Linked DNA regions of Canis lupus familiaris. The protein of the gene in region 2 purifies or fractionates together with the protein of the main gene of each other region. This does not show direct contact. Links are inferred from orthologs where the notes say so. Each region holds a gene or a part of one and is shown on either strand. Other genes may lie near its edges.

Region 1 (7,281 bases), on a different chromosome or scaffold from region 2:
TGGCTCAGTGGTTGAGCATCTGCTTTGGCTCAGGTCATGATCCCAGGGTCCTGGGATCGAGCCCCACATCAGGCTCCCTGCTCTGTGGGGAGTCTGCTTCTCCTTCTCACTCTGCCTGCCACTCCCCCTACTTGTGCTCTCTCACTCTCTGTCAAGTAAATAAAATCTTTAAAAAAAAAAGGGGGGGGGGAGAAATATACAGACTCTTGGCAGCCATGTGAGGCCCCCACGCTCATGCCTCCTGCTTGTGAAGGGGCCAGCTGCTGGCGTTGTTCTGGCACGTGACATCTGTCCATGCTGCTGCAGCTGTGGACTGGTCCTGTCATCTGGGCCTTTTCCCTTCTCAGAGCTGTGGAGGAGATGTTGGCTTGGGAGTTAGGCTGCTTGGGGTCAAGCCTGACAGCCATCACTGAAGCCCTTGGCCAGATGCCCAAATGACTTAGTTTCTTCGCCTGTTGAGCAAGAATCCAGATAGCACCAACCTCATATCACAGTGTGGTGGTGACAGTCCTTGTATGGATCCTCACACCACGGGTGTGTGGTGAGTTCCCAGCGACAGCCACTCTGTTTTTATCATTCAGGCCTGTCTCCCTTGACTCCCTACCCTCCTGGTCCTTCCTGTCTTCCTTGTGCATCCTTGCCAGAGTTTCTCCTGTGCTGATCTGGGCATTGTATTCCCATTATGTTGTTTCTTTGTCCAGAGCTCCTAATTGCCCATCCTGCCGAGTCCTCCAGTGCTCTGCCTGTCTCCCTGGCCCTGGCCTGTCCCATCCAGTCTTGCAACGCAGTCAGGTGTGCGAGTCAGACCTCTCGGCCTTGCCCGACCCACTTACACCCTTGCGTACTTCCTCGGACCTTGATCTTACCCTATTCTTTCTTTTTCTTTTTCTAAGATTGTATTTATTAGAGAGCACACGAGGGGAGGGGCAGAAGGAGAGGGACAAGCAGACTCCCTGCTGAGCAGGGAGCCTCACATGAGATTCGATCCCAGGACCCTGAGATCATGACCTAAGCTGAAGGCAGACACTTAATTTACTAAGCCACTTAGGCACCCCAATCTTACACTGTTCTTACATCACCTGCCCCCCTAAACTCTAAGTATCCAGCTGATTACTGATCATGCTAGCTGATTGGTTTTTCCAGCGAAGCCTAAAATTTGAATTTTTCAGAAAAAATGGGCCAAGCAAACTGTCACTTAAAAAAATTGTGTTTCCTGCAGTCCTTTGATTTTTCAAATAATTTAAAGAATCACTCTTTTTTATATAAGCTGGAAATCAGTACTTAATTTCAAGCACAGAGAATTTATTTTATTATGTATATAAGCAAAGTATCCTATGTGCTTTGATGATGGAACCAAAGCTATTTCTTGATCTTCTGTGTCAGCATCTTTGAAGAAATTTCTGAACCTTTCAGAATGTTTTATAGTAACACATGAATATATCATTTAATCCCCAGTAACAAACTTTTATCTGTTTTTCCCCTCCCAAGGACCCCAAGATGTATGTACAGACAGTGTTGGATGTTCATAAAAAATACAATGCCCTGGTAATGTCGGCATTCAACAACGATGCTGGTTTCGTGGCCGCACTTGACAAGGTGGGTGCGAGCACAGCGTCTTTGCTGCAGCGTGGGGGGGGGCCCACATGTTCTCTGACTGTGTTTTGTATGTCCCACAGGCCTGCGGTCGCTTCATTAACAACAATGCAGTTACCAAAATGGCCCAATCGTCCAGTAAATCCCCTGAGTTGCTGGCTCGATACTGTGACTCCTTGTTGAAGAAAAGGTATTAGTGACTTTGTAGGGATTTTTTTGTTAGTAAATCTATTTAAAGTCTCTGCTTATATATGAGAACTAACTTCCTGTTATATTTTACATATTTTAGATTGTCATCTTTGTACCTTTTGAGAAAACACTTTAAACCAAATACATCTTCTTTGTCTCCTTAAAAGATACTTCATGTTATAAATTCTAGTGGGTTTTTATTGTGGGTTTTTGTTTTTTTTTAATGTTACTGTGGGCTTTGAGAATTATAGAATTTATTTAGCTAAATGAAGTTCACAGGTTGGTCAAGCAGTGGTTACGAGGGTGGCAAGGAAGGAAGGAGTAAGTGTCCTTCTTGTACTCCCTGCGGATGTTCTGTGAGCCTCGGTCATGATGCCAGGGAAGATCTCCTGTGGGAGCTCCCACTGGCTGTTTTCTGAAACAAGACTTTCTGTGCACTCTGGCATTTGAATTATCGTGTGCACTTTTAACATTTATCTTCATGTGATCAATTCGTTTTACTGCTGTTTCGTATTCTTTGTGTATGTGTATATTTACATTTATATATTTTTAAAGATTGGGGCTTGAGCTCACAACCCTGAGATCGAGTCGCTCCCTACACCAGCTGAGCTAGCCAGGCGCCCTTCGTATTCTTTATTTATTTTTATTTTTTTAAAGATTTTATTTATTTATTCATGAGAGACAGAGAGAGAGAGAGAGAGAGGCAGAGACACAGGCAGAGGGAGAAGCAGGCTCCATGCAGGGAGCCCGATGTGGGACTTGATCCCGGGTCTCCAGGATCAAGCCCTGGGCTGAAGGCGGTGCTAAACTGCTGAGCTACCTGGGCTGCCCCCGTATTCTTTTTTTTTTTTTTTTTTTTTTTTTTTTAAACCATCATGTTTCTCACCTGTTCCTCCTCCTCTGTGTGTGTGTGTCTATTAAGAGCTAGAGGCCCCATGATCTCCTGTGGCTCTCTCCTCTGCGTTGTGCTTCTAGGGTTCCAGGTTGTGTGTATTTGGGTATTCTCAGCTTCTGTTTCAGTTTTCCAGCAATCCATCAACAAACGCAGTCATTTCCCATGCCCCCATGTTGTCCTGGTTTTGAGATGAATAAACATCTCTTAAAGGCTCACCTAACCCCACTGCAGAAAACACTGAGGATACCTACATGTACCAAGAAAAACACTGGAAACAAGTCCCAGAACAGAGTTGGGGAAATCCTAAGTAAAGTGTTAGCAGACTAAATTTATTAGAGAACTAAAGAATAATTCTCCAGAACATAGTATAGTGTCCTAGGAATGTAGGGATGGCTTGGTGGTAGCAAATTTAACGTAATTTACTATATTAACGGAAGTATATGTGGTCTTCCTGGCAGACGTGGGAAAACGTTTGATAATGTCACTAGCTGTCTCTCTGACTTTGCCAGAAAGCCATGTCCCCAAGGCTGGTGAAAATGGGGTATTTGGGGGTGGTTTTCTATTTATTGCAAGTCTGGTCAGTGTATAATTCAGCCGTTCTAGTCCGATCTTTTCTTGTAGTCCTTCGAGAATAAAAATGGACTTTAAAGTGGAATGCCTCCTCTGACCTGATTTCATTTTTTTTTAGGCTAGATTATATGAAAATTCTCAATATTTTATTTTATTTTTTTTTTTTTCAATATTTTAATAACATGCTTTAGCAGACCTTCAGTTTGGCAAAAAACTTATTATCCTTTTTATACGTTGCCTTTTCACAAGAGGCCCTCACCAAGTCTCTTGGTGTGTTGTTTCTTAGTTAATGCTGCCAAAGCAGACAGAATGGCAGACACATGCTAGGGTTGCTTCAGTGAGCACGCACTAGTGAGTGGAGCTAAGAAAGAAAACTCTTCCAGAGAGAAAAACCACCCTGGGCTACCTGTGTGAGGACTAGGACTGGATTTTCTTAGAAATACCTTTCCAGAGCTTGTTTGGTCATTTCATGTGCTGGATCATGAGCTGGATCATTTCATGTGAACTTATGGGGATCTTATCTATGAAGGACTCATAAAACCTTAAAAATTTCATTTACCCTAGAGTCACCTTTCAGTTAATACTTGTTCATAAAAGAGAAAGAATTAGTTGTTAAGGGCAGCCCTCTGTTACATAGAACCACAGAGGAAGGCAGTGCTTTAGTGGCTTTAAACAGTTTTGTTTTCTTTAATGCTTAGGCCATTAGAAATCTACATGTGCTTTTGGTTTTTTCAGAGTTAAATTAAAGCATATTATAGGAAGCAGTTGGCAAAGTAAAGTTCCTTTATTTTGTGTTTAGGTAGATTTCCTTTCAGAAACGAAAGGAAAGCTTGAATGTTCAGGGCAGACTTTAATAAGTATCCTCTGTTGATTTTCATCTTGCATGTCCAAAACGATTATTTCGTAAACATGTTCTTCCGTGATAGTTTCAGTGTAAGATTGCCACGTTGCCATAGGTGAGAAAAGTTTGGCTCAGTGGTACTTGCTGAGTAAATGTTTACTGATTTGTTTGAAAACAGTATACCTTTTTTTTTTTTCCAGTTCCAAGAATCCAGAAGAAGCAGAGCTAGAAGACACGCTCAACCAAGTGGTAAGGCGCTTCTTACTAATCACTCTGGTTTCCAGTAGCAGTTTATCTCCCAAGTTTTAAGGTTACTTGTATAGGGCATCTGAAATGTGAAAATTAATAGGATCATTTATTTTACTTCATATCTATGGTTTTACTCCCTAAATTGAGTCATTAATTTTAGCACTCGTACTTTCCTCATTAGTACTAAGTCTAGACCAACTTAATATGATTAAAGGGGTTGATGAAAATATTTCAAGACTGTGGATGGTATTTTTTTTTTACCACTGTAAACGTTGGCACACAGGCCAGTCAAAATAAAGCACCTGTGTCGGCTGCCGGCGTGTGTTTAGTGCATTAAATCTGCTCTCTTGGTGACTTCACTAGATGGTGGTCTTCAAGTATATAGAGGATAAAGACGTGTTTCAGAAATTCTACGCAAAGATGCTGGCCAAAAGACTCGTACATCAGAACAGTGCCAGTGATGATGCCGAGGCGAGCATGATCTCAAAATTAAAGGTAAATTTGATCATGTCCTGAGAAAAATCCAGTTTTTAAGTCATCGTGAAAGATCTTAGCTGTTGCAGGTTGTCAGTGGGCAGAGTCGCTAGTCTAGGTAACAAAGAGTTTGTATGGAATGAGCCCCGCTGCTCCGCTACAGGGGGGTTGTGACCGGTCAGGCCTCCCCTCCCTGTTTCACATGCTTTGCCAACCCATCCATGCTGCTCTTGGAGGGGCCTCCTGTCCCGTCAGACCCGGCTGTGCCGTGCTCACCACCGCAGCATCTCCTACTCCGCACATTCGTCCCCACTCTGTCTTCACACACCAGAACCACTCAGGGTGGCTCAGCCCACCTGCATGTGGTTGGCTTTGAGTTGGTTTGTGTTTGTTTTGCTCTGGGTTTAGTTCACTGTCTGCGATTGTACCTGCAGGAAGACAGCGTTTTACTTGATCGTTGAGCAGTTATTTCATTATCCAGCCACCTCTGCGCTGAGCTTGTGCCTGCTAACCTGTTGAGTGCTGTGATGTGTCTTAGACCTATTTCACTTCGACTGAAATTAGTTATGTGGGTATATTATTCTGCTCAAACTGCCGTAACAAAACACCATGGACTGGGGGCTTTAACACTAAAAATTTATTCTCCCAGTTCTGAAGGCTGGAAGTCCAAGATCCAGATGCTGGCTGATTCGCTTTCTGGTGAGGACTCTCTTCCCACCATGGTGACAGCCGCCTCCTCGCTGTGCTCCAATGTGGCGAGGAGCAAGAGCAGACTCTGGCCTCTTTTTACAAGGACCCTAATCCCATCAGGAGGGCTCTGTCCTCATGACTGCATCTGGCAATCATTTCTCCAAGACCCTACCTCCCAATACCATCACGCTGGGGGTTAGGGCTTCAGCATAGGAGTTTGGGGGACACAGAGTTCAGCCCCCCAGTAGTGGAATAGAGACATAAAATAGGTCATCTGTGTGTTCTGTTAGACATCCTTGCTCCTAGATGCTCAAATGAAAGTTACTGGGTGAAAAAGACTTAACTGCTTGGCTATGGCTATATTTTGGGCAGTGTATTAATTTGAATCTGTACATATTGACCCCGTGAGATGTGGTTCAGTGTTACTCCTAGCTTAGTAGCTCTCGTACAGTTGTATGACTTCCATCAGATTTCCTTGTATACACTTCTATTTCTGTAGAAATTAATAAGATGGTTATCTGGGTTCATTTCAGCAAGCTTGTGGTTTTGAATATACCTCTAAACTTCAGCGGATGTTTCAAGACATTGGCGTGAGCAAAGATTTGAATGAGCAATTCAAAAAGCACCTGACGAATTCAGAACCGCTAGACTGTGAGTATCCACGAGCGTGTGTAAGCTGCTTTTACGGGCAGTGTTCTCAGAGAAGTTCATGTCCTTTGTGGCAAACGAGAGAGATGACAAAATACTAAGGGTGGTCAGTGCATATCAGAAATTCCGGGACAGGCAAACAGGAAGCCCGGGATCCTCCTGACTCCTGTGTGTCGTTAGGAGATGGCAGGCACAGAGCATGTCAGCCTTTCCCAGGGGCCCCAGCGGCATGGCCATCCCACCCTGGGCAGCTACCAGCTCCGGGCTCCACACAGTTTAATATTTAGTAAATTTCTTTAACCTTAGTGTGGATCCATTCTAGCTTTCTCTCTCTCTCTCTCTCTCTCTATTTTATTTATTTATTTATTTATTTATTTATTTATTTATTAATTATGAGAAAGAGTTGCAGATGGCTGTGTGGATCACAGAGTCAGACTAACCTGAGATTTCGGCTCCAGGTTGGCATGGGGATGAGGCCCTACTGGGCGCCAGGCCACGCTCTTGTTGTCAGGTCCGCGGGGTGGCACCCGGCAGGTGATGCTGACATCATCATATGGTAGTATTGTCTTTTTAAGCAAAAAATGGGAATTTTACCTTTCCCCGAAACTGAAGAGCCATTCCACTGTTAAATGTGGCAGGGATGCCAGTGGATTCCTTAGCTATGTGATGATGCAGTTGTTGTTACAATTTACAGGTTAGGTATCATACGTAGTGGGTGTGTGTGTGTGTGTGTGTTTGCAGTTGTGCGTGCTGCACAGAACACCCTGGAGTGAGCCGCTGGCGCTTGAGGCTTCTGTTTCCTGAGTTTGGGCCCCGGTGCCAGCCGTGCTGGGCGAGCTCGGGGGCCTCAGTGGACCCAAGCAGAGCGGCCCTATGGTGTCCTCAGTCTGAGCTACAAGTGAAATGAAAGACTGCCTCTCTCTGTAGAAAAAGAGTTTCTGGCTCTTTCCACCTTTTACTAATTGTACTTGAGTGAAACAGTCTCACTGAAATATGGTCAGTTCTGCCGTTCATACCGCAGCAGGGTTTTTCAGTCAGTGTGTTTCCTTCCATGCAAAGCAGCCCACGTTGATTTGAGCAGCAGCATTGTTGGGTTTCTGAGACTAACTGTGTTCCCGCACTTTCATTCCCG
Region 2 (7,281 bases):
CCTTCAACTTTGAATGCCTCTTTTCCCCTCCTCACTCTCAGTTGGTGACAGCATTTCCTATTTCACTGAGAAATGGAAACAGTCACAAAGGAACTTCTACAGGCTTCAGTCATCACCTCCACTCACCTAACCAGCTGCCTCTGTGCTCCTATACTCTGCTTTCTCTTTGTTGCTATGAATAAATTGCTCCAGTTATAAGCCAACTCTCTTTCTCTTGTACTTGAGACCCAGTTCTCTTTTGCTTACTCAGGGACATTATCTAGCAATTCTTCAGTCTTCCTCCTGCATTGTTAATTTTTCTGTATTAACTTTCTCATCAGCATACCAGCATGCTGTTTCTCTCATCTTACTGCCTGATCCATAGGAGGCTTACTAAAATATTTGGATGAAGGAATTAATAAATAAAATGTTTGGCTAAATATAAGTGTGTTTAAATGGTTTAGGGACAGTTCCAGTTGAGAGGGAAAAAGGCTGAAGGTATAAGAGAGAAGGAATGAAGGAGCATCAAGACCCCGAAGAGATAGGAAGGTATGGGGTTCAGGTATGAGTAGAGGGATGGGCATTGGATGGGAGCATGGAAGGGAGGGAAGGATGAGTCGCAATGCAAGTAAATTGGCAGATTTATTAATGGCAAGTTGAGGGAGTTTCTAATGACGTTATTTTCTTTGTGCAGTGGGAGATGGTATCCTGTGCTACGTAATAAGGAACTGGAGGGTGGGTGGTTGTGGGAATTTGATAAGAATGTAGAAGTTTTGAAGCAGTCATTATGGAGAAAGGGAGAGGAAACTGACTGAAAAACATAGGACTATCAGTATTGAGGATCCAGCTAAGGGTATTAACCACAGAAGTTACAGTGGCATCATTTTCTTTGTAATAATTATTCTCAGTAAAGTTTTGCCAGGGGAGAGAGTGCCTGGGTGGCTCAGTTGGTTAAGCATCTGCCTTTAGCTTAGTCATGATCTCTGGATCCTGGTCCTGACACCTGAGCTCTGTGTCAGGTTCCCTGCTTAGCAGGGAGCCTGCATCTCCCTCTGCCTCTTTTCCTGCTTTTGTTCACTCTCTCTATCTCTGTCAAATAAATAAAATCTTAAAAAAATAAAATAAAATTATGACTTTATTGTGAAATCCCACACTGGCAACATACAAATCAGGATTTGTGAAATGTGTAATTTGACACAGGAGTCCTCCTAAGTTTATGATGACCACATTTCTTATGCAATCATGTATGGAGAGCCACTATTTGTCATATAACTATTTTGTTTTGAGTAAATGGATTTAGATGTGGTTTAAAAACATTTGTATTTATGTTTTCTTTTTTTAGGAGCAAAGAGGCCCCGAGTCACTTCAGGTGGTGTATCAGAGTCTCCTAGTGGATTTTCTAAGCACATTCAATCCAATTTGGACTTCTCTCCAGTGAACAGTGCCTCTAGGTAAGATAAATCAATAAAGACCAAATAATTATTGTATGTAATATTCCCATAAAAATAATGCATGTATATATTTTTTCTTGATAATGAATGTAATTTTTTATCAGTGTGAGAATGGTAATGTGATATAAGAAAGGCCTGATTGGTTTTATCTAAAGATATATTTTTCCCCATATCTTAATGCCTCAGTGAAGAAAATGTGAAGTACTCCAGTTCCCAGCCAGAACCACGGACAGGTCTTTCCGTATGGGACACTAGCCCTTCATATATTGATAAGCTGGTACAAGGGATCAGTTTTTCCCAACCCACATGTCCTGATCATATGCTCCTGAATAGTCAGTTACTTGGCACCCCGGGATCCTCACAGGTAAGGGAATTTAGTTTTTTCAAATAAATGATGAGAAACTTCTAGTTTTTTCCTCATAAAGGCTTTTGTTTTAATGTATAAATCTTAGAAATATAGTATTAATATTGTGCGTATATAGATTTTTTTTTAAGGAAGAGATAAGAGGATGCTTTCCTATATAAGAATCTTTAGTCACACAAAAAAATTTTCAGACCCAATAGCTATGATATGACTGCTTTTGGTGATACCAGATTTATTCAGGTTTCCTCTGTTTGACATGTAGAACCCTTGGCAGCGCTTGGTGAAAAGGATGACACGATTTTTTACCAAATTGGATGCAGACAAATCTTATCAATGCCTGAAAGAGACTTGTGAGAAATTGGGCTATCAGTGGAAAAAGAGTTGTATGAATCAGGTATGTTTCATTGATTTTCCTGAAGAAAAATGTAAATATTTGAGTAAAAAATGATCATTATCAGTATATATTTTTTAAAAAAGCAATTGGAATTTAAAAGACTTAAGTAAAATGTTACTTACCTTAAGAAATAGTATTGAAAGTCTTCTTTAAGTTTGTTAAAAATATCAAGAGACGCGGGATCCCTGGGTGGCGCAGCGGTTTGGCGCCTGCCTTTGGCCCAGGGCGCGATCCTGGAGACCCGGGATCGAATCCCACGTCGGGCTCCCGGTGCATGGAGCCTGCTTCTCCCTCTGCCTGTGTCTCTGCCTCTCTCTCTCTCTCTCTCTCTCTGTGACTATCATAAATAAAAAAAAAAAAAAAAAAAAAAAAAAAATATCAAGAGACGCAAGTCATGTTCTTGAAAACTGTATGTCCTTAAATTGTAAGAGTAACAAAGATTACCTTCTATGAAAGATGAATACATTAACAATCCCATACTTCTTCTATCTCCCCTGCTCCCACCACCAATTTTTGTTTTATATTATTATAGCATATTTGTAATACTGAAATTCTAGTCCATCTTTAGGCTTTTCAAAAACCTAATGGCATGAAAAACAATTAGACGAATATTCTGTATTAACGAGGCCTGACAAATAATGTAATGACATGATCTTTTACTAGATCATGGTTTTAAAGAAGTGAAAGCTATAAAAGACATTATTGGAACAATTGAGGAAATTTGAATATGGTTTTTATATTAGATAATGTTTTTGAATCAGTGCCAAATTTCTTGGTTGTTATCATAATATTGTAGTTTTGTAGAAGAGGATCTTTGTTCACAGGAGAAACATGTTGAAGTGAAGTGTATGTCTTGTATAGCTTGTTTGAAAAACTAAAAGAAAAAAAAAGACAAGTAAACCTACTTATCTAGGTTGATAAGACCAACAAAGGGTATATAGTTGGTGATTCTTTCAGGGTTTTTTTTTTATTTATTTAATAGCTTTGTAAGCTTTCAAAATTAAAATTAGGGGAAATTGTTACTGTGCAGAAATCTGAGACCAGCCTGATTTTCCTCTCACTTATGTAGATAATTTACTTTTTTTTTTTAATCAGGTAGGTATATTGAGATGTAATTCACGGTAACCTAAAAATCGTCATTTTAGCTATTTTAAAGTGTACAATTTAGTGGTTTTGGTATATTCACAAGATTGTGGTACCATCGTCATTTTATTCTAGAACATTCCATCGTCCCCAAAATAAACTCCATACGAATTAATAGTCATTCCTTATTCTTTCTTCCCTTCATTTCCTGGCAGCCACTTTACTCTCTGTCCTATAGATGGCCTATTCTGGATGTTTCATATAAATGGAATTATATAAATGGCTTTTTGTGTCTGTCATCTTTTACTTAGCATAATGTTTTCAAGGTTAATCTATGTTGTTTACATTTGTCAGTACTTCATTCCTTTTTATGGGAGAATAATAGAATACAACATTATATGGATAGAATATTTTATTTATCCATTTACTTGTTAATGGACTTTTGAGATGTTTCTACTTTTTGTCTATTATGAATAATGCTGCTGAGAACATTTTTGTACAAGTTTTTTGTATGAACTTAATGTGTTTTTAGCCTGCCAGGGCTGTCATAACAAAATATCCAAACTGGGTGCTTAAACAGCAGAAATTTATTTTCTCACAATTCTAGAAACTGAAGTCTGAGATTAAGGTGCCGGCAGGGTTGACTTCTTTTTCTTTTTTTAAAAGAGGATTTATTGACTTATTCATTCATGAGAGATACATAGAGAAAGAGAGGCAGAGACACAGGCAGAGAGGAGAAGCAGGCTCCATGCAGGGAGCCTGATGTGGGACTCGATCCCAGAACCCGAGATCATGGCCTAAGCCAAAGGCAGATGCTGAACTGCTGAGCCACCCAGGCATCCCAGGCAGGATTGATTTCTTCTAAGGCCTCACTTCATGGCTTTCAGATGCTGCCTCTTGCTGCCTCCTCATCTTGCCTTTCCTCTGTGTGCATGTGTACCTGGTATCTTTCTCTCTCTGTATTCTAATTTTTTATTAAAATTTTTTTTTTTGTAAAGAATTTATTTATTCAAGAGAGGCAGAGATATAGGCAGAGAGAGAAGCAAGCTCCATGCAGGGAGCCCCACGTGGGACTTGATCCCAGGTCTCTAGGATCACGCCCTGGGCCAAAGGCAGGTGCCAAACCACTGAGCAACCCGGGCAGCACTTTTTTTTTTTTCTTATAAAGCTATCAGTCATATTGGATCAGAGCCCACTAAGTGGTTTCATTTTAACTCTTATTACCTATTTAAAGGCCCAGTCTTTAAATACAGTCACAATCTGAGGGGCTAGGGCTTCAACATATGAATTTTGAGGGGACATAGTTCAATTCACAACAATATGTTTTCAATTTCTTAGGTATATAACTTGCTAATGGAATTACTAAGGCATATAGTATCTGTGTTTAACTTTTTGAGGAGCTGCCAAGTGGTTTTCCAAAGCAGCTGCACCTTTGCAGATTCCCACCAGCAATATATGTATTAAGCATCTTCTTTCCCAGAACATTATGTTCCAGTGTTGCACAATTGTGGTACACTGGTGTATTTTTTTTGGTCATTCCTTGAAATGAGAAGTTTTACAAATGTTTTTGTAATTTGCACTAATCTTATTTTTATTGCCTTAGGTTACTGTATCAACAACTGATAGGAGAAACAATAAGCTGATTTTCAAAGTGAATTTGGTAGAAATGGATGAGAAGATCTTGGTTGACTTTCGGCTCTCTAAGGTATGTCAAACAACATTTTTTAAAAAAAATTTGTTTTGCTGTTATTAAAGAAGTATTACATGTTCATTGAAGAAACCTAAAAAATATGAAAACATGTATAAAGGATAAAATAAGAATCAAGTTTAAACTTATCCAGAGAGAATAGAGAGATTTTATACTGTATTTCATTATGGTAGTCTTACTACTTCTTTAGTATGTGTTATATGGAAATGCTCTTATGTAGAGATTTCTTTTTAATGGCATTATATTTGTATATACATGGCATTTGTAAATATATGGTAACTTGCTTTTTCTCATTCAGTTTTCTGAACATTCTTGTTATTATCCTTCTAAAATACAGATTTTTTTCAAATGACATTTTCCTTATTATAAAAGCTTTATTGTAGAAAATGTAAATAAGTAACAATAAAATAAAAATAATCCTGTTATATTGTCCACCAGTAATTACCCTGAATATTTTAAAGCATTCTAAACTTTTTCTTATTTAATCCACATATATCTTAATAACAATTATGTTTGTCAAAATGTACAATATAATTAACCTTTATCTGTCATACGTAAATCTGTGATTAATATTTGTATACATAGAGTCTTGTTCACATATCTGATTATTTCTTTAGAAATTACTGGTTCTGAGGTTATAGTTTGGCCTTGATATATAAGAGCAAAATAGTGTTCTCTATGTTTCCTGAGATACTGTATATGGTTCTAAAGGAGATTAGAGAACTAGGTCACATTTTGAAATTGGAAATTTGCTGCATTGTCCAGATGCTTAGTATGAAATTAAATTATTAAGATCCTAGTGTAATGAATTTCTTCTCATAACTGAATCACTGGCTTTGTTACCACAGTATTTGGACAAGACTTCAATGTAGTTGTGTAGCTTAATTTTGGGTTATAAACCCCTAGTACCTATGGAAAACAGTGATTTAGGTTCATAGACATAGATACCAATGCTGGACAGAGATAAGATGCCATTGTTTCTGCCTCTCTACGCTCAGTATGGTGGGAACAGTGATGGCCCAAAATCAAGTTGAAATTGTTTATGTAGCCATATCTTCTAGGATATTTAGTCTTCAGAAGAGGACTTGAAGGGAATTGTAGTTGGACATATCTAAGGGTGTTTATCTCTACTTGCCACTAAAGAGAGTTTGATTTTATGGCAGTCTCTTTTTTGATATTATTTTTTGGATATTATTCCTAATATAGGGAGATGGATTAGAATTCAAGAGACACTTCCTGAAGATTAAAGGGAAGCTGAGTGATGTTGTGAGCAGCCAGAAGGTTTGGCTTCCTGCCACATGAGAGATCCATTGGATTCCTGGTGAATATAGTGCTGCTATGTTGACATTATTCTTCCTAGAGAAGATTATCCTATTCTGCAAACTGCAAACAATAGTCTCTGAAGAATTGTCTTCCCTCTAGCCAAACACTTTGAATTTTTTTGGTATGTTCTTCATACAAACAATACCTTACATCTTCATTGTAAGTAAAGCTTTGGGGAATGGATGGATAGAATTCATTAGATATTTCTCATCCTGTGTTTAGTTTCCAAAGACCCATGTAATGGAAACCAAGCTTTGAGGATACATGAACTTACCAACTTTTATACCACTGTAATGAAAGATGATATTCTTGTCATATTGTTAACAGAACATTTGGTTTTATCCAAAAAAGTAGGTGTTTCCTCTATGTTGATTTAATTATATGGATGGATTAGTAATAAAAGCAGTCCTGTGACTTTTGGACAGTAGATTTATCAGTCTATAAAGTGAAGCCAACTTCAAAAAATATATCCTCAAAATTTATACTTATATTTTCACAAGGGCCTTACCAAGTATATAAATCTGTTTTTGGAGTATAACTGTTAATTGAAATTGCTAGGTATGTTTTTTCCAGTGTAGTTAATATATAAAATACTGGTTGGTCTTTCAAGTAGAAGTTGAGCATGGACTCTAATGCTTAACTACCTTTACTCTAAAATTACTATTGCACATTTTAAATATTTTTCTATATTATTTTCTACTTTCACAGCCATATTTTAATTCTTTATTACAGAAATAAATTCTATTTTGAAAATGAATAGCCAACTCTGTGGACTTCTTGGTAACCAAGCTTCTAGGTAGTAAGGAATAAAAGAGGGAGGGAGAAGTAAATAAGCTGTGAGAGAAATAGATCTGATTCCTAATTCTTTTACTATTAGATTTACTAAGACTCTGTTCTTTTAATAAAATTTATATTAATTTTGGGGTCTCCTGGGTGGCTCAGTTGATTAAGCATCTGGCTTAGGTTCGGGTCATGATCC
Region 3 (8,079 bases), on a different chromosome or scaffold from region 2:
GATATCTCGGGTTCTGTGTACTCCAAAACCCAGGTAGGTGCCTAGAAGTGGAAAGAGATGGGCATAGAGGAGGTGGTGTTGCAGTGACAGAAGTCCAGTGAACAAGCACGACCCCAAGAGGTGTAGGAAACCTGTCCTCGAAGATGAGTGGTCTCTAGATTTCAGTTTCTCAAAGAACTTTAAATTTAGCTCTCTGAGAAAGGCAAGAGAAGTGTGCCAGGAAGGTAAGGCGTGGCAGGTGGCTGTGATGTGTCTTGAGACTTACTGTGGCAACTGTCCTTTCTTTCCATACCACCAGCCTTTTTGCAACTTTCCAAGAGAATGGAATGAAGGGAAACTAGTTCCGTTCTTTGTAAAAACAAAAGGTGGGAACGGAAGAGTGCATCTGAACTATTAAGCCTGATACATGCAGTGTTCGGAGTTATGGTGGAGCACTTGGTGACCGAGACCTTTGCCACCAGGATGCCCGAGCTGCACGGTGGGGGTGGTTTGTGATGGTAGAGTCCCAGAGCACGCTCACAGCTGTCCTCTCCTGCTGTGCTGACAGCTGGGAGTCAGCACCCCTGGGTTATGTGTGAGCAAAGATCAGAATGAGTGAGTACTTCTCTCAGGATCCCACAGCCCTTGGAGAACAGAGCAGACCCGCTCACGTGCCTTTAGTGCTGCTGTTCTGCTGCATACTGCTCTTGGGGGGTGGGGGACTTGGGCTCTGAAACTCCAGGGCTTGGTTTGCTGACCCCTTTTACTGTCTCTCCCCATCCCTCTGGATAGCAGTCCTTTGAGAAACAAGGTTTTCATTCCGGTACTCCTGCTGCCTCCTTCAACTTGCCTTCAGCCCTAGGAAGTGGGGGGCCCATCAATCCGGCCACAGCTGCTGCCTACCCACCTGCCCCCTTTATGCACATTCTGACCCCCCATCAGCAGCCGCACTCCCAGATCCTCCACCATCACCTGCAGCAGGATGGCCAGGTAATAGCCCTCCCCCTCTCCTCTCCCTTCCTCTTCCTTCCTGTCCCCTACAACTGCCTCCCTTTCCTTCTCTTACCCTTCCTCACAACCACCTTCACCTACCCCTCCCAGCGCCAGCCATGGGCACACAGCACATACACACACAAGTGCACATAACACCAGCTGCCGGCAGAGGAGATGTCAGAGAAGGGGCCAGGCTGAAATTTCCTTTGGGGCCTTTCTCTTCTGCCTCCTATAACACAGCTGCCTCATCCCATCAGACCTGGGTCACGCCTCCCCTCCAACCTCTCCCAGCCTCCCCCATTCCCTGACATTGTAGCTTTCCCTTCTAATGGTGGAGTTCTATTGTCAAAGTTTGTCCCTTTATTTTCCATATATCCTGGTTCTGCCTCAGCTACCATATTTGCAGATGATTCTCTGTTGCCAGCGCCAGCAGGAGGAGCAGGTAATGAAACTGAATGATGATGTGCTTGAACCCACTCCTTTCCAGCCCCCATTTCACCTCCACAGCGTCAGGGAACTTGGAAAGGCTGCACGGTCACAGATCAGGACACACAAACACAGACACCTCGCTGAGCTCTCTGGCCTCCCATTCCTCTCTTGTCCTCCCTCCCCAGCGCCCTCTTTCTTTCTGCCCTTCCCTGACTCTGGAAGCACTTGGTTACTGGAATGGAAAGGATTCTTGGGGCAGCCTCTGGAGCCTGGGGCCTCAGACTGTCTCTCCTACCTCACCTGCAGTGGGCTCTCAGCTGTGCTCTGTGGTAGGGGTGGGGAGCTTGGGGTGGTACAAGTGACCTCTCCTCCATCACAGGTGGCTGAGGAGCTGGGATAAGACAGCTTTCCAAATTGAGGTATTCATGGGATTGATGAAAATGAAATCTCCGTGTGATCACTCCTCTCCAAGAGGCTGTGATTCTCTCTAGAGAGAGAGAGCCTTTTCTCAGAGCAGTGTAGGTGGGAGTGGAGGGAGAAAGTGGAATTGAAAGTGGGGAGAACTCATTCACTGTCTTGTCTCCAAAAGGTATTCTGCCGTCTTTATGTTGTTCCCCTGTTCAAAGCTTGAAAATGCTCTCTTCCATGTCACAGGTCCTCTAGCACCTATAGAAACCAAATTTTCTGTGGTGGGGAAGTAAACTTCAGAGTCATTTCTAAGCAAGGGGAGTGGGAGAGCAAGACAGTTTCCAGAGCTCTACCTGCAGATGTCACAGATTTGTCCCACTAACCAGACACCTTTTTCCTCCTCCTCATCATCCCATTCCCTGCAGACGGGCAGCGGGCAACGTAGCCAGACCAGCTCCATCCCGCAGAAGCCCCAGACCAACAAGTCTGCCTACAACAGCTACAGCTGGGGGGCTAACTGAGGCCTGACCCCCCTCCTGCCCGGCAACCACGGAAACGGCATCAGAGAGAGAGGAAGGGGGGGTTCCGCTGCCCCTACCTCCAGTGTCCCACCCTATGCCTCAGCTTCATGTCTGTCCCGTCCCCATACCACCCCTACTCTGTTGTATGTATTATAGGATTTGTATTTTCTCCTTTTTTTTCCCCCTTTCCTCTCCTCCTCCCCCCTTGCATTCAAGATTATGAAACTTTGCTGTGGGCCCCGCCTTCCTTCTCCTCCTGTTCACCCTGGTGGTGTATAGGTGAGGTGGGGCAGGGGGACCCCCAAATATATATCAGCCCAACAGCCCTACGTCTCCTCCTTTATTATTAGGAAACAAAACAACAACAAAATGGCGTCATGAATATGAACAGCATTGTCAGATGAATTAGTTGAAGTGTTTTTTTTTTGTACTGTGTCCTCGAATTTAATGGATTAATGTGTCTTGTATATATAAAAAGAAAACCTCTACCTTCAGCCTCTGCCCGTTCTTGCTCATTCTAAGACAGTCTGGTCAGCCAGCTCGGTGAATGAATATTCCGTTCCAGCTGGGCCCCTGGCAGGCTCTGGAGGCCCCAGAATAAAGAGAGCTTCTGCCTTCACCTGCCCTGCTGGGATTCCCTCTCCTCCTTCCCCAGGGGCTTCACAGCCTAGAAGGAGCTGCTGCAAATTTTCATTTCCTCCAGAAGCTGCTTCCTCTGCAGATTTCAGGCTGTGACAGGAATGGACAGCAGACACAGGGTAGAAAGCTGGAGAGTGGGTTTGGGGAGCGGTCGTGTACTGTAGATGGTCCAGGACAATGGTGGGGGGGCATGCAGTTCCTGCTTCTTGAGTGCTGCCGGCCCCTTGAAAAGGAGGGGTCAGGAGACCAGGGCCGGGGTGCAGGGAGGGTGGGGGCGCAGGAAAGGAAAGGCTTGAAAGTCAGGGGGCAGGCAGAGGGTTACTTACAGCTCCAAACTCCTCCCCCGGCAAAGCTTACGGGATTTCCCCGGCTCTCTTGCCAAGCCTGTGCCTGCAGGCTGCAGAGCCTGCCTAGGGCAGCTAGTATCGGTCACGGTCACCGCATGCCCGTTGGCCGGGGAGCGCCAAGTCCGAGCATCCCCAACCGACCCGTGGATTCAAACGCCGAGCCTGGAGCACCTGCCGCACCGGCTCGCTGGGCGGAGGCTGCCCCCTGGCGGCGGCGGCCGGTCCCGGGCAGGAAGGCGGCTTAGGGTTCCGGGCCCTCGCCCGCTCCCTTCGCGGGCAGGGGGTGCGGCTCGGGACCGGGCGGCGCCCCGCGCCGCCTGCGCCGAGCAGACGGTCGTGTTACGACAGCGTGCCGCGCCGCCTGCCTGCTTTCCGGCAGGCGGCCCGACGCTGCTCTCAACTTCCGGCGGCGGAGTGCAGCTGCGGCCAGGTGCGAATGGGCCTCGGTGGGGTCTGCAGGTTCGAGTCCCAAAACGGGGATGAGCTTCTTTGATCTCTTTCGGGGCTTTTTCGGCCTTTCTGGACCTCGGAGGTTAGAGTGGGTCGGGGTCGGACGAGGGTGGGGTCTCCTGAGGGGAGCTTGATCTCTGACACCCAGTTCTTGGGAAGCCGTCCTCTTCGTCACTCCTTCACCAGCTGCGGAGAGGACAGAAGTCAGCACACTGCGCACTCGCCCCGCGGCGGTCACCTGGGCGGCCGCTGAGAGGAGGACTAACCGCAGTTTAAGCCTTTCTCCAGTCTGGGGTGATGCAACAGGGGCCTGGGCGGGAGAAACAGTGGGGGCCGGGCGGGGGTGGGGCGCGGGGGGCGGGGGCACGGCCTGCCCGCGAGGTGAGGACCGACCCTGACACAGACGGAACCCCGACGGCGCCCCGCCAGCCTCACTCCCGCACCTCGGTGCGCAGACCTCTGCCCTTGGCTCCTCGGCCACCCGGAGCTGATTGTGCGGCCGAAGGTGTGGCTGAGATTCTGGTGCTCAATCTACCTTCACTCCCAGCCACAGAGATCCCTTTTTTGGAGGGATGACTCGAGATGAAGATGAGGACGATGAGGAAGAGGAGGAAGAAGCAGCCCCGTGGAGCCATGGGAGCTCGAGGTCTGAGGGTCCCCAGACCCCGGAGGAATTTGGCTTTGGCTTCACCTTCACTCCAGGAGGGATGCGTTTCCATGATAACTTCGGCTTTGATGACCTGATTCGTGATTTTAATAACATCTTCAGCGAGATGGAGGCCTGGACCTTGCCTTCCCGGCCTTCTGGTGTGTGGCTGCCCCTGGAGCACCTCTGGTTTCTCCTGGGTTAGTGGGTGAAGCCAGGAGCCTGAAGAGAGTAGTGGGGGTGGGAAGTGTGAGAAGAATGATAATATCAAGGCTGTGAGGAGCCCAGGTCCTCTCCCCCCCCCAGCATCCATCTGCCCCCTTTTCCCAGAACTTCCAGGTCCTGGTCCTGAATCAGAGACACCTGGTGAGAGACGACGGGAGGGACAGACACTTCGGGACTCAATGCTTAAGTATCCAGATAGTCACCAGCCCAGGATCTTTGGGGGGGTCTTGGAGAGTGATACAAGAAGTGAATCCTCCAAACCAGCACCAGACTGGGGCTCCCAGAGACCTTTTGGTCTGGTGAGTGCTTCTGGGCCCCAAGTGAGAGCCTGCAGGAGGTAACTAATAAAGCACAGACTGGAGCTTGTCAGAATCTAGCAAAGTTGGGTTGGGATCCTAGGTTCTCCACTGTCTAGTGTATTTATCTGTTTTCTCTATTAAGCTCCTTGTAGGATTGGGCGGAGGGGGCGCATGAGGGTGGGAGTTCAGCTTTTTTCTCTATTTTTTTTTATGACTTTTTAAAAAAAGGTTTATTTTATTTATTTATTCCTGAGAGAGAGATAGAGGCAGAGACACAGGCAGACGGAGAAGAAGGCTCCATGCAGGGAGCCCGATGCGGGACTTGATCCTGGATCTCCAGGATCACGCCCCGGGCTGAAGGCGGCGCTAAACCGCTGAGCCACCCGGGCTGCCATATAACTTTTTTTAAAGATTTTATTCATTTATTCATGAGAGACAGAGAGAGAGAAGCAGAGACACAGGCAGAGGGAGAAGCAGGCTCCATGCAGGGACGTGATCCCAGAGTCCTGAGATCCAGCCCCACATTGGGCTCCCTGCTCTGTGGGGAGTCTGTTTCTCCCTTTCCCTCAGCCCCTCCTGTACTCCCTGTCTCTCTCAAATGCGTAAAACCTTAAAAAAAAATCACCAGTCTGTATGATTCTGGGACAAGACGGATTGTTGGATAGGATAGAGTGTCAGTTGAGGAGAGCCTTTTGGTGGAAAGATAGATTGAACGGGTAGGACAGAGAAAGGGGTGAGTAAATAAAGCTATCCTGAGTGGAATCCTCTGTCCCAGGGGAAAAGTAGTTACGGAACTTAGGAATATTTTGGATTCTGTGACCTCTCAAGTTTCAGATTGAAAGGTATCATTTCACCTATTTTGCCTTCTACAGTTTGATGATATGTGGCCTGTGACCCCCCGTTCTAGAGCCAGAGAAGACAATGGTGAGTCTGGAGGGAGGGGACATTTAACGTACCCTTTGTTCTCTCTCCCTTACATTTCTTCTTGTCACACTTGGCCCCTTCTTTTCCTTTGGACTTTTGATTTCGTGTTTCCTCTCTGCCCTTCTAGATCTTGATTCGCAGGTTTCCCAGGAAGGCCTCGGCCCAGTTCTGCAGCCCCAGCCCAAATCCTATTTCAAGAGTGTCACGGTGACTAAGATCACTAAGCCAGATGGGGTGAGTTGGAAGAGGAGTAAAGGGAAATGTGGCCAGAGGATGCCATGGAAGAGCAATCTATATAAAGAAACCAGTGAGCTCACTTCTATTGATCTTAGAGATATGGTTGGGGTCTCTCCTTGTAGACAGTAGAGGAGCGCCGGACTGTGGTGGATAGTGAGGGCCGGACAGAGACCACAGTAACCCATCAAGAAGCAGATGGCAGTCCTAGAGATGGTAAGTAAAGTTTGTGAATCAAAAAGGTCCATCTCTTATTTCCTTGGGCAAAAAACACACATACTTTTTCAGCCTTTGATATTCTTCTCCTTGTCCACTGCCCATTCTTTTTCATTTAGTGTGTCTGTATGTATCACTTTCTCCTTAGATCCAGAATCACCAACACCTCCAGCCCTGGATGATGCCTATTCCATCCTGGATTTATTTCTAGGACGTTGGTTCCGGTCCCGGTAGCCTTGTTAACCCTCAGAGGCCTTCAGATCCTTTCCACCCTTCGCTCACTGTCAGTGGGCTTAGCTTCTCCTGCCACCTCAGGGTCTTGGGTGTATGGAACAGTGAGTTGGGGGTATGTCAGTATGTGACTCACCTAAACTGACCAATAAAACCTTTATTTATGCTAACTCCTTGGTCTTAGTTTTGTCTAGGCTGTTCTTCCCCCCCCCCCCCTTTTTTTTAAAGGCCTCCCAAGCTCTCTCCAGTCGGCGGGACCCGCCTGCTGCGCGGGGTGAGTGGAGGCTCTTCTACTTTGTAGTACCATCCAGGGCTTCCCAGATTATTTTGGCCCACAGTATTCTTACTTCTTAATTTTTTGTTCTGCTTCCCAACCCTGATTTGATAATCAGGTTAATTTGGTCAGGATAATCAGGATAATTTGGTCAGGTACTGGTAGAAAATGAGTATTCTTATGGAGGAGATACCTAGAGACAATTCCAGGAAAATTTACACAGGGATGCATTAGAGTCTAACAAGCGGAAGTGTGTGTGGAAATGTAGGGACACCTGCTTCCCCAGGTGTGGGATCACTATGATCGGACATTTCACGAGGTAATTTGATGAAATACATTGGCAAATATTTTTTCCTTTAGTGGGTATGTATTCCCCCCCCCGCCCCGCCCCATGTATGTTGGAGAAAATATAACTAGGACAAACGTTGCTAGATTTTTTTTTTCTCATTAAAGAAATTCTTAAGAGCACCTAGGTGGCTCAGTCGGTTGAGCATCCAACTTTTGGTTTCAGCTCAGGTCATGATCTCAGTCATGAGACTGAGCCCTGCATCAGGCTCCATGCTGAGCTCGAGTCTGCTTGTCCATCTCCTTCCCACTCTTTTTTTTTCCTTCCCACTCTTTCCCCACTCTACCCCCCTGCTCAGTCTCTCTCTCTCTTTCTCAAATAATAAACCTTTAAACAAAAACAAAACTTTAGCACTGTGGTTTATAGTGGCAGATCTTAAACATTTGTTTACCTCTGTTTTCTTGAAATTTCACTAAAATGACAATAAAGGGATTTTTCTAAGGAAGCAAATCATAAGAACAAAGAGATATAATCATGAAATTTTGTCTTTTCTCTTTATTATATCTTTATGTGAACAGAAGTTGATTTATTACCCAAGAAGTTGTTTATATTTCTCTTTATAGTTAGTGCTCTTTATATCTTAGGAATATCCCCAACCCAAGGTTAAAAAAATATTTCTTTATCCTCTACAAGTTTTATTAGTTCTGCTTTTTATATTTAGGTTTTTATTTATTTATTATTTTAAAAAGATTTTATGTATTTATTCATGAAAGACAGGCTCCCTGTGGGGAGCCCAATGCAGGATTTGATGCCAGGACTCTGGGATCATGCCCTGAGCTGGAGGCAGATGCTCAACCACTGAGCCACCCAGGTATCCCTACATTTAAGTTTTTAAATCCATCAAGAATTTATCTTCCTATGGGGTATGAACCACAGAACCAGGATGCCTCGGCAGCTCAGCAATTGAGTGTCTGCCTT
Region 4 (8,033 bases), on a different chromosome or scaffold from region 2:
AAGCTGAGCTTCAAAAAAAGTAAGAATAATTTCACTGGTTCTGGATTAAAACTTGGCATTAACACCACCTTATAATGATACTTCTTAAAAGGGGCACAGGGAAAAGCATTTCTAACAGATGAAGTAGTAGCTGACAAATGTAAAAAGAGTGGGAGAATTACCACTTGGCAAACACTCACATAATAACCTGCTTGGGAAAAAACTACCAATGAAAGCTGCAATCACCCTAGAAAGGGTATGGAGCGGGATGTTCATGGGCTCTCACAATCCATCCAACAGATTACAAATCAATACGGACACTGGAGTAGGATGATGGGCCTCACCTTCCCCCAGTGATCCAGTTCGGAGCACCCATGCAAGCCTCCTGAGGCTACAGGATATCTACACTGGCCAGCTGAGCCCAAACCTAATCACTAGAAAGAGTCACATAAAGGTAGATGATGACACATCCATGAGTCCACTGCCCTGGACATTTTCAAAAAAATTGTCATCAAACAAATCTGCTCCCAGAAACAGGCAAGAGGACTCTTCTAGATGACAGACTTTACAGAGCAAGACTGTCATACTCAGAGTGTGACCTGACTGGACCCTACAGGTAACAAAGAGGCTCCAAACAGTACTGTGGGTGGATGTGGAGCCCAGACTCTACCAGAAAACACTGGTGTTACGTTTCTCGGCTATGCCACCAGCCCAGCAGCCAGACAGCACAACAGCCTCGGTGCTCTGTGAAGGGCCACGGGGGCAGCGACCTCCTTTCCAAGAGCTCACAGGAGAGAAGCACACACGCCTGGGGGGGGAAGGGTACACAAATGTGGTGCGCCAGGTGAGGGTATACATGTCTTCAATGTTCTCCTCTCAACTTGTCTGTAGATTTGAAAATTTTCAAAATAAGGGATCCCTGGGTGGCTCAGCAGTTTATCGTCTGCCTTTGGCCCAGGGCGTGATCCTGGAGTCCCAGGATCGAATCCCACATCAGGCTCCCTGCATGAAGCCTGCTTCTCCCTCTGCCTGTGTCTCTGCCTCTCTCTCTCTCTCCCTCTCCCTCTCCGGGTCTCTCATGAATAACTAAATAAAATCTTAAAAAAAAAAAAAGAGAAGAAAGAAAGAAAATTTTCAAAATAAAAAGTTGGAGGAAAGTTACAATTTTTTTTTAAAGATTTTATTTAGTTATTCATGAGAGAGAGAGAGAGAGAAAGGCAGAGACACAGGCAGAGGGAGAAGCAGGCTCCGTGCAGGGAGCCCGACGTGGGACTCCATCCCGGGCCTCCAAGATCAGGCCCTGGGCGGAAGGCAGTGCTAAACCGCTGAGCCACCTGGACTACCCGAAAGTTACGATTTTAAATGTAGATAGTTTTTTAAAAGTAACTTGCCATTTGCGGTAAGAGTTTATAGAATAGACCAAAGAAAGAAGAACACCAAACAATACCAGCCCTTAGAGAGACCCCAGAAATACTGAAGAGCCCCAGTTGCGGGGAAAGTGCAGCTGACCCCTGATGGACAGGTCACACCACGGCTCTTTACTGTACGGCACAGTAAATGTATTTTCTGCTCCTTACCATTTTCTTGATAACATTCTCTCGCTTGGCTATAAGAATGTCGTGGATAACACAACACAAAACACAGGCTAGTTGACCCTTTCTGTGGTTGGTAAGGCTCTGGGCCAACAGTAGGCTATCGGTTAAGCTTTTGGTGAGCCAAAAGTCATAGGCTTATTTCCAACTGCTTGGGGGAGTCAGTGTCCCTAACCCCCACACTGTTCAAGGGAGAGCTGTACAAACAAACCGATCTTTTACTAAAAACAATTTTTAAAAGTAGAATATTAGAAAAAATGTTACAGTAAATTAACTCCACCTGTCCTCTCCAAACAGAAACTGGAGGCGTGTGGAAGCACCAAGCACTGAATAAAAAGGGCCTCACGGGAGGCAGGGACAGCCTAGTGACTGCCGACCACTGCACGGACAGCCCTCCCTGGGCTGCTCAAACTGGAAGTGAGCGCTGGGAAGACAAGGCCCTGACAACTAGCTCTTCCCTTGGGCCGCTGTTCAGGGCTGTTGATGTGGCTAGTCCCTTTGAGCAGCGAAGCAATGTCTCCCCCATCCCTTGAGCGAAACGCAGGCTTGCTCGTCACCTGCCACACAAGGGGTGGATGCCTTCTTTGACGCAGGTGCAGGCACCCTTCCGGGCCCACAGGCACTGACAGGCTGACCCCACACCACCGCTGTGCTGAGCTCCAGCCCTTGGTCTCTGGCCAGGAATGCGTGTGTTCCAGGAGCATCCAAGGAACCAACAAGAGAACCTGCAAGCTTCGGGGAGAGTGAAAGCAAAGCAAGCCCTGACCTGAGAGCTGCTGGGAAGTAATCCCGGGGACCGGGGCAACAAAGACCTACCTGTGCGCAGGCAGCTGCCGACCCAGGATGTGTTAGGTACGAAACAGGGAGCAGACTCGTGTGCAAACCCACAGGGTCAGTAAGATTCAAGAGACACTTCCGACCCCGAGATCTGGGGGGGGTCTGCCTGGGACCGAAAGCGCTGGCTGGCTGCGGCGAGGCTGCCGGCCGGAGTGCTGCGTGGAAAGGCTCGGCGTCTGGGGCCAGAAGCTCGGGTCGGAACGGCTGCCCCTGGACGGCCGCGGCACCGCCTCCAAGGAAAAGTGCGAACTAGGGGCCGCCGTGCACCACGGTAAGAGCTCGCCGGCGCGGGAACGAGGGGCGCGGCCGAAGCTGGGGCAGACCCGGCAGGGCGGGCGGAGACCGGACTCGAGGCGTGGGGTCGCGGGTCTGAGCCCGGCAGGCTCGCCCTTGCGCCTCCCCAAGCCCTCGAGGGCTTTAAGACGCACATAAGACGCCAACGAGGGCCTGTAGTCCAACGGGTTCTCAAAGGCCCACCCCGCGGGCACCGTCAGAGGAGAGGCCCGAGGCCCGCGGCGGGGCGGGGGCGGCGGCGGCGGCGGCTGCGGCGGCGGCGACAGGAGCCCCTAAGCCCTCACGGTGCCCCCGAGGACCGCCCCCCCGGCCACACCCCCGAGCGGACGCCGGTGGAGCTTCTCGCATCGACTCCCGCCGGCCCACACCCGCGCCCCGGCCCCGCGTACCCACCTGCTGCAGGTACTGGTTGATGGTGATGTGCGCCATGGCCGGACCCCCCGCGGAAAGTGGGCGTGGGCGGGGCCTGCGCGCGCGGCTGCGTCCGCCTCACTTCCGGCCGCCGGTCCGTCCGGACCTGCGCGCCCCCCAGGCCCGCCTCCCCCGCACGCGGGTTCCGGAGGAAGAGAGTCCGCGGCAGCGTGCGCCCCGGGCCGGGATGGCGGCGCGCCCGGGCTGAGGAAGGCCGCGGCCTGCGCTTCGATCCGCCACCGCCTCCCGGCGAGGACGCCCGGTCCGCGCCCTCTGGGTGCCTGGGCTCCCGCCCGGGGCAAGCTGGGCCCCGCCGCCCCCCTCGACCGTTATACGTTCCACAAGGAGCGCGGCGGCCGCCGGGCGGCCCGGGGCGGGGGCGGGGGCGGGCCGGGGCGGGGGCCGGGGCCGGGGCCGGGGTCGGGGTCGGGGTCGCGCCGGGCCGGCGGGGCGGCGGTTGGGCGGCCGGGGCGGCGCTGACGCGAGGCCCGCCCGCCCGCGCGGCCGGGGAGGCGGGACGGGGCGGGGCGCCCGCTGCTTCCCGGCCGCCGCCATGGCCGACGAGACCCCCAGGAAGGGCGCCCTGTCGGCGCTGGTCGGGCACACCAACGGCCTCACCAAGCCCGCGTCCCTGGCCGCGGCCGCCGTGGCCTCCAAGCCGGGCGGCGCCGGCGGCTCCAAGAAGCTCGTCATCAAGAATTTCCGAGGTGGGTGCGGGGCGGCGGGGCGGCGGGGCGGGGCGGGGTGGGCGCCCCCGGCCGCCGGAAGTGCCCGTCCCGGGGAGAGGGGGTCCCGGGGGGGCGCAGGGGTGGGGGGAGGGGGCGCCTCCGGCCGCCGGAAGTGCCGCTCCCGGTGGGGGGGGGAGGGACGGGGGGGGCTCCCGGCCGCCGGAAGTGCCGGTCCTACGGAGAGGGAATCCCGGGGGGGGGGGGCGCCCCCGGCCGCCGGAAGTGCGGGTCCCGGGGCCTGGGGCCTGGCGCCTGGCGGGCGGCGGCGAAGGGGTGTCCGGTCCCCGGAAGCGCCCCGGCTGTGTCCCGGCTCCGGCGTCCACGCAGCGGGGGCCCGCAGCGGCCGGTCCGCGCCCGGGGCCCCCAGGACTGGGTCATTCCGGGAAGGGAAGCGGGGGGGCTGCGGGCCCGTGAGCGTGATCGTGGGCGCGACGGGGGCGCCGACCCTCACCCCGCCCCCGCCCCGCAGACAGACCGCGGCTGCCGGACAACTACACTCAGGACACCTGGCAGAAGCTCCACGAGGCGGTGCGAGCCATCCAGAGCAGCACGTCCATCAGGTACAACCTGGAGGAGCTGTACCAGGTGAGGGCCGAGGCGGACCCCGCGCGGGCGCTCTTCCCCCCCGTCGCTGCCGCACGGCCACGCGGCCCTCCTCCTCTTTATTTTCCGATCGTTGCGGTTAAGACGCGGAAACGGATTTTGTTACGTCCGAAGATGTTCCGTTTCCAACGTAATTGTGGAAAAGGAGCATTACTTTACGTATTCCGTTGATCAGCAGACCGGTTTTCCTGATAACTGGTTTTCAGAGAATAGCATTCGTTGATTAGTGCGTTACCTACCACCTACATTTTGCATGACCGTGTGATAGATACCTCCGTTTCTATGAAGACATTGGAATTAAAACTTTCTGTTTGCATAACTGTTTGTTGTAAGAACTATGGACATCACAAAAAAGGACAAAAATAAATTAAAACCACCTGTACTCCCGCCACTCAAGGAAGACCGCTATTGGCATTTTGGTGGACATCCATCCCTTCTTTGTAATAACTTTGTATGAGTTTATATTTTTTGATCGACTTTTTGAGGCATAATTTGCATAGAACCTGTACTTTAGTGACTTATATTGAGGTGTAAATGCTGTTATCATGGTAACATACAGAATTTTTTTTAAAACATTTTTAAAAATTTTTATTTATTTAGGATAGTCACACAGAGAGAGAGAGAGAGGCAGAGACACAGGCAGAGGGAGAAGCAGGCTCCATGCACCGGGAGCCCGATGTGGGATTCGATCCCGGGTCTCCAGGATCGCGCCCTGGGCCAAAGGCAGGCGCCAAACCGCTGCGCCACCCAGGGATCCCTAGAATATTTACATCACTTCAAAGAGTTCGTTCTCCTGACCTGGTCCTGGCGGATCACTGACTTCCTTGCTGTTGGTCTGTTGGACCAGTTTAAGTCTCATCGGTGGAACCTGTGTGGGGCAGTTGTCTGCACCCAGTTCCAGTAGTTTGTTTCTTTGTTGCTGGGGAGTACAGCTACAGCCTTTCACCAGGATAACTGACAGTTTGCAGTTGGTAGGAATAAAGCTGTTCTGAACCTGAAGGAATAAGTCTCATGTGGACATGGGTAAATATCTAGAAGTAGTCTCAGAGTCATAAGGCAAGTGTACATTTGACTTTAGGACATTTTCTGTTTTCAAAATGGCTATACCATCTTGTATCTGGGCAGCAGTACGTGAGAGCTCCGTTTTTCTATGTTCTTGCTAACACTTGGTATTATCCGATTTTTTAAGGAATTTTATTCACTTGAGTACACATGTACTGTTCTTTTGTATTTCCGTATGAATTTTATGATGTTTGCCAATTTCTAAAAAATAAAGCCTACTAGCATTTTGATTAGGATTGTGTCAAATTCTAGATTAATGTGGGGAACGTTGATGTCTTGATGGTACCAGGCGTGCCAACTGATGACACGGCACAGCTTTGTTTGCTTTTCCTTGATTTCTCAGTAAGGATTTCTGGTTCTGGTGTGTAGGTCTTGTACATCTTCTATGAAATACTCTTAAGCGTTTCGTACGTTTGGTGGTATTACAAGCAGTAGTATGGTATAAGTTTTAATTTCTGGTTCTTGCTAGTATATAGAAATAGAAATTGTTTTTTGTGTATCACTCTAGTACCCTGCTCTCTTGCTGACCTCGCTTCTAGTAGCTTTTTGTAGATTCCATGGGATTTTCTACCTAAGCAATCACATCACCTATGAATAGAGGTGGTTTCACTTCTTTCTAGTCTGCATGCCTTTTATTTCCTGTCTTGTGTCCCTGCACTGCTCAGAACCTCCAGAACAGTGGTGAGTAGAAGTGGTAAACCCACACTCTCTTGTTTAGCTCCTGCTCCTAGTGGGAAAAGCCTTCGGTCCTTCATCATTGAATATGATGTTGAGTGTTGGGCATTTTTTTGGTGGTGTTTTGTTTTGTTTTGTTTTCTAAAAATACCCATTTGTCAGGTTGAGGAAGCTCCTTTCCATTCCTAGTTTGCTGAGAAATTACCAGAAGTACCTGTTGGATTTTGATGACTTCTTTTATGACTGTTAAGATGATCATATGACTTTTGTTATTTTAGTTCTTTGCATTGTTTGACGTCTCAGTTGGTAAGACCATCCAGCAGTCCTTGGATAAATCTGACTTGCCTAGTGGTGTATGAATTTTTGATGTACTGTTGGTTTCAGTTTGCTAACATTTCATGAGTTTTTGCATTTGTGATCGTAGAATAGTGCTGTCTTGTTTTCTTGTAGTGTATTTGTCTCAGAGTTGCAAATGTTTCCTCTTTTTCCTTTCTTATAAGGGTTTGTATGGAACTGGTGTTCTTTTTTCCTTAAACGTTTGAGAGAATTCCCAGTGAAACCATCTTGGCTTTCTTAGTGGAGAGCTTGTGAACTGCACATATCTTTAGTGGCTAAAGAACTCTTCAGGTCACTCATCTCTTTGGATTCACTAATCTTCTGTGACGTCTGATCTGCCAGGACTGCCATCTGGTGAAATTCTTTCTGGTGCATTGGTTTTCTGTCCAGGTGCTCAATTTGAATCTTTTCTGTATCTTCCCTTGTCACTACATAATTTCCAAACATAGGGAATATACTTATGATAGCTGTTTTACTGTCAGTTCCAGGCCACATTTGTCTGCTTTTTCTTCCCACTAAGGGTCGTGTGTTTTTTCTTAACCCGTTGGATAATCTTTGATCATCAGACATTATGAATTTTGATTACTACGATAGATATTTTTATATTTCTATAAATATTCTGAGCTTCATTGCAGACAAATTATTTGGAAACAGTTTGATCTTTTAGAGTCTTGCTTTTAAGATTTGTTAGGACTAGGGCAGTATTTTGTCCAGGGTTAATAATAGCCCCATTGAGCGGGACAATCTTCTGAATGAGATTAGGTGCCTGATGTCTTGTGGAAATGTGCTATTTCAGGTTCTCTCTGGGCACTAGACACTGTTGTCTCTAAACTTTTTCGGTGGTTCTTTCCCTGGCCTTCACCGTTTCCTCACATATAGGTCAGTGCTCTGCTGAATCCTCAAGGGGCACCCACGAGGGCTCCTCGTTCATCTCCAAGCTCCTGTCTAGATGCATCTCTCATCTCTTCCCTCTGGACCTTCATCTTGGAGACTTGAGCCTCAGCTCAAGGCACCTGCTCTGCAGCCTGGAAAGAGTGATGTAGGTAGTCATAGTGTTGGGGCTTGTTTCCCATCTCCCAGAGATCTTTGTCTTCCATAGGCCAATGTGCAGTGTTTTGAAAACTGGTTTTTTGTTTTTGGGTTTTTTTGTTTTTTTGTTTTTGTTTTTGTTTTAAGATTTATTTATTTGAGAGACACCAAGAGAGCACAAGCAGGGGGAGGGGCAGAGGGAGAAGGAGAAGCAGACTCCCTACTGAGCAGGGAACCCAACGTGGGGCTCAGTCCCAGGACCTCAGGATCATGACCTGAGCTGAAGGCAGACTCCACGTGCACTGTAGAGCCTGATGCTAGGCTCGATCTCACAACCCTAAGATCATGACCTGAACCAAAATCAATATAGTTGGATGCCTAACTGACTGAGCCACCCAGGCACCCCTCGTATATTTTGAATGGTTTTTGGTTAATTCAGGCAGAAGAGCTAGTCTAGTCCCTTTATTTAATCTTGACCAGAAGCGGG

Evidence for each region.
Region 1: the proteins of CHEK1 (region 2) and CUL1 purify together in Homo sapiens (affinity purification with western blotting; 6 studies listed by BioGRID and IntAct, with this or other methods). This does not show direct contact. The link is inferred for Canis lupus familiaris from reciprocal best matches to the Homo sapiens genes CHEK1 and CUL1.
Region 3: the proteins of CHEK1 (region 2) and HAX1 purify together in Homo sapiens (affinity purification with mass spectrometry; 3 studies listed by BioGRID and IntAct, with this or other methods). This does not show direct contact. The link is inferred for Canis lupus familiaris from reciprocal best matches to the Homo sapiens genes CHEK1 and HAX1.
Region 4: the proteins of CHEK1 (region 2) and CUL4A purify together in Homo sapiens (affinity purification with western blotting; 4 studies listed by BioGRID). This does not show direct contact. The link is inferred for Canis lupus familiaris from reciprocal best matches to the Homo sapiens genes CHEK1 and CUL4A.

Annotation. Positions count from the first base shown.
Region 1 is NC_049237.1:1,658,198-1,665,478, reverse strand, and holds part of CUL1 (cullin-1), read left to right. Parts: intron 1-1,488; coding exon 1,489-1,596; intron 1,597-1,676; coding exon 1,677-1,783; intron 1,784-4,288; coding exon 4,289-4,337; intron 4,338-4,700; coding exon 4,701-4,832; intron 4,833-6,034; coding exon 6,035-6,152; intron 6,153-7,281. UniProt on the Homo sapiens protein: Core component of multiple cullin-RING-based SCF (SKP1-CUL1-F-box protein) E3 ubiquitin-protein ligase complexes, which mediate the ubiquitination of proteins involved in cell cycle progression, signal transduction and transcription.
Region 2 is NC_049226.1:8,897,066-8,904,346, reverse strand, and holds the end of CHEK1 (serine/threonine-protein kinase Chk1), read left to right. Parts: intron 1-1,321; coding exon 1,322-1,430; intron 1,431-1,616; coding exon 1,617-1,794; intron 1,795-2,056; coding exon 2,057-2,188; intron 2,189-4,874; coding exon 4,875-4,976; intron 4,977-6,185; coding exon 6,186-6,281; 3' UTR 6,282-7,059; downstream 7,060-7,281. UniProt on the Homo sapiens protein: Serine/threonine-protein kinase which is required for checkpoint-mediated cell cycle arrest and activation of DNA repair in response to the presence of DNA damage or unreplicated DNA.
Region 3 is NC_049228.1:42,954,959-42,963,037, reverse strand, and holds HAX1 (HCLS1-associated protein X-1), read left to right. Parts: upstream 1-3,687; 5' UTR 3,688-3,795; coding exon 3,796-3,848; intron 3,849-3,914; exon of another isoform or gene 3,915-4,060; intron 4,061-4,313; coding exon 4,314-4,612; intron 4,613-4,742; coding exon 4,743-4,936; intron 4,937-5,808; coding exon 5,809-5,860; intron 5,861-5,987; coding exon 5,988-6,094; intron 6,095-6,219; coding exon 6,220-6,310; intron 6,311-6,458; coding exon 6,459-6,544; 3' UTR 6,545-6,711; downstream 6,712-8,079. Other genes in the region: UBAP2L (ubiquitin-associated protein 2-like), read left to right, coding at 1-33, 772-969, 1,364-1,414, 2,235-2,330. UniProt on the Homo sapiens protein: Recruits the Arp2/3 complex to the cell cortex and regulates reorganization of the cortical actin cytoskeleton via its interaction with KCNC3 and the Arp2/3 complex. Slows down the rate of inactivation of KCNC3 channels. Promotes GNA13-mediated cell migration.
Region 4 is NC_049243.1:60,778,218-60,786,250, forward strand, and holds the start of CUL4A (cullin-4A), read left to right. Parts: upstream 1-3,649; 5' UTR 3,650-3,666; coding exon 3,667-3,820; intron 3,821-4,310; coding exon 4,311-4,426; intron 4,427-5,082; exon of another isoform or gene 5,083-7,542; intron 7,543-8,033. Other genes in the region: PCID2 (PCI domain-containing protein 2), read right to left, coding at 3,096-3,131. UniProt on the Homo sapiens protein: Core component of multiple cullin-RING-based E3 ubiquitin-protein ligase complexes which mediate the ubiquitination of target proteins. As a scaffold protein may contribute to catalysis through positioning of the substrate and the ubiquitin-conjugating enzyme.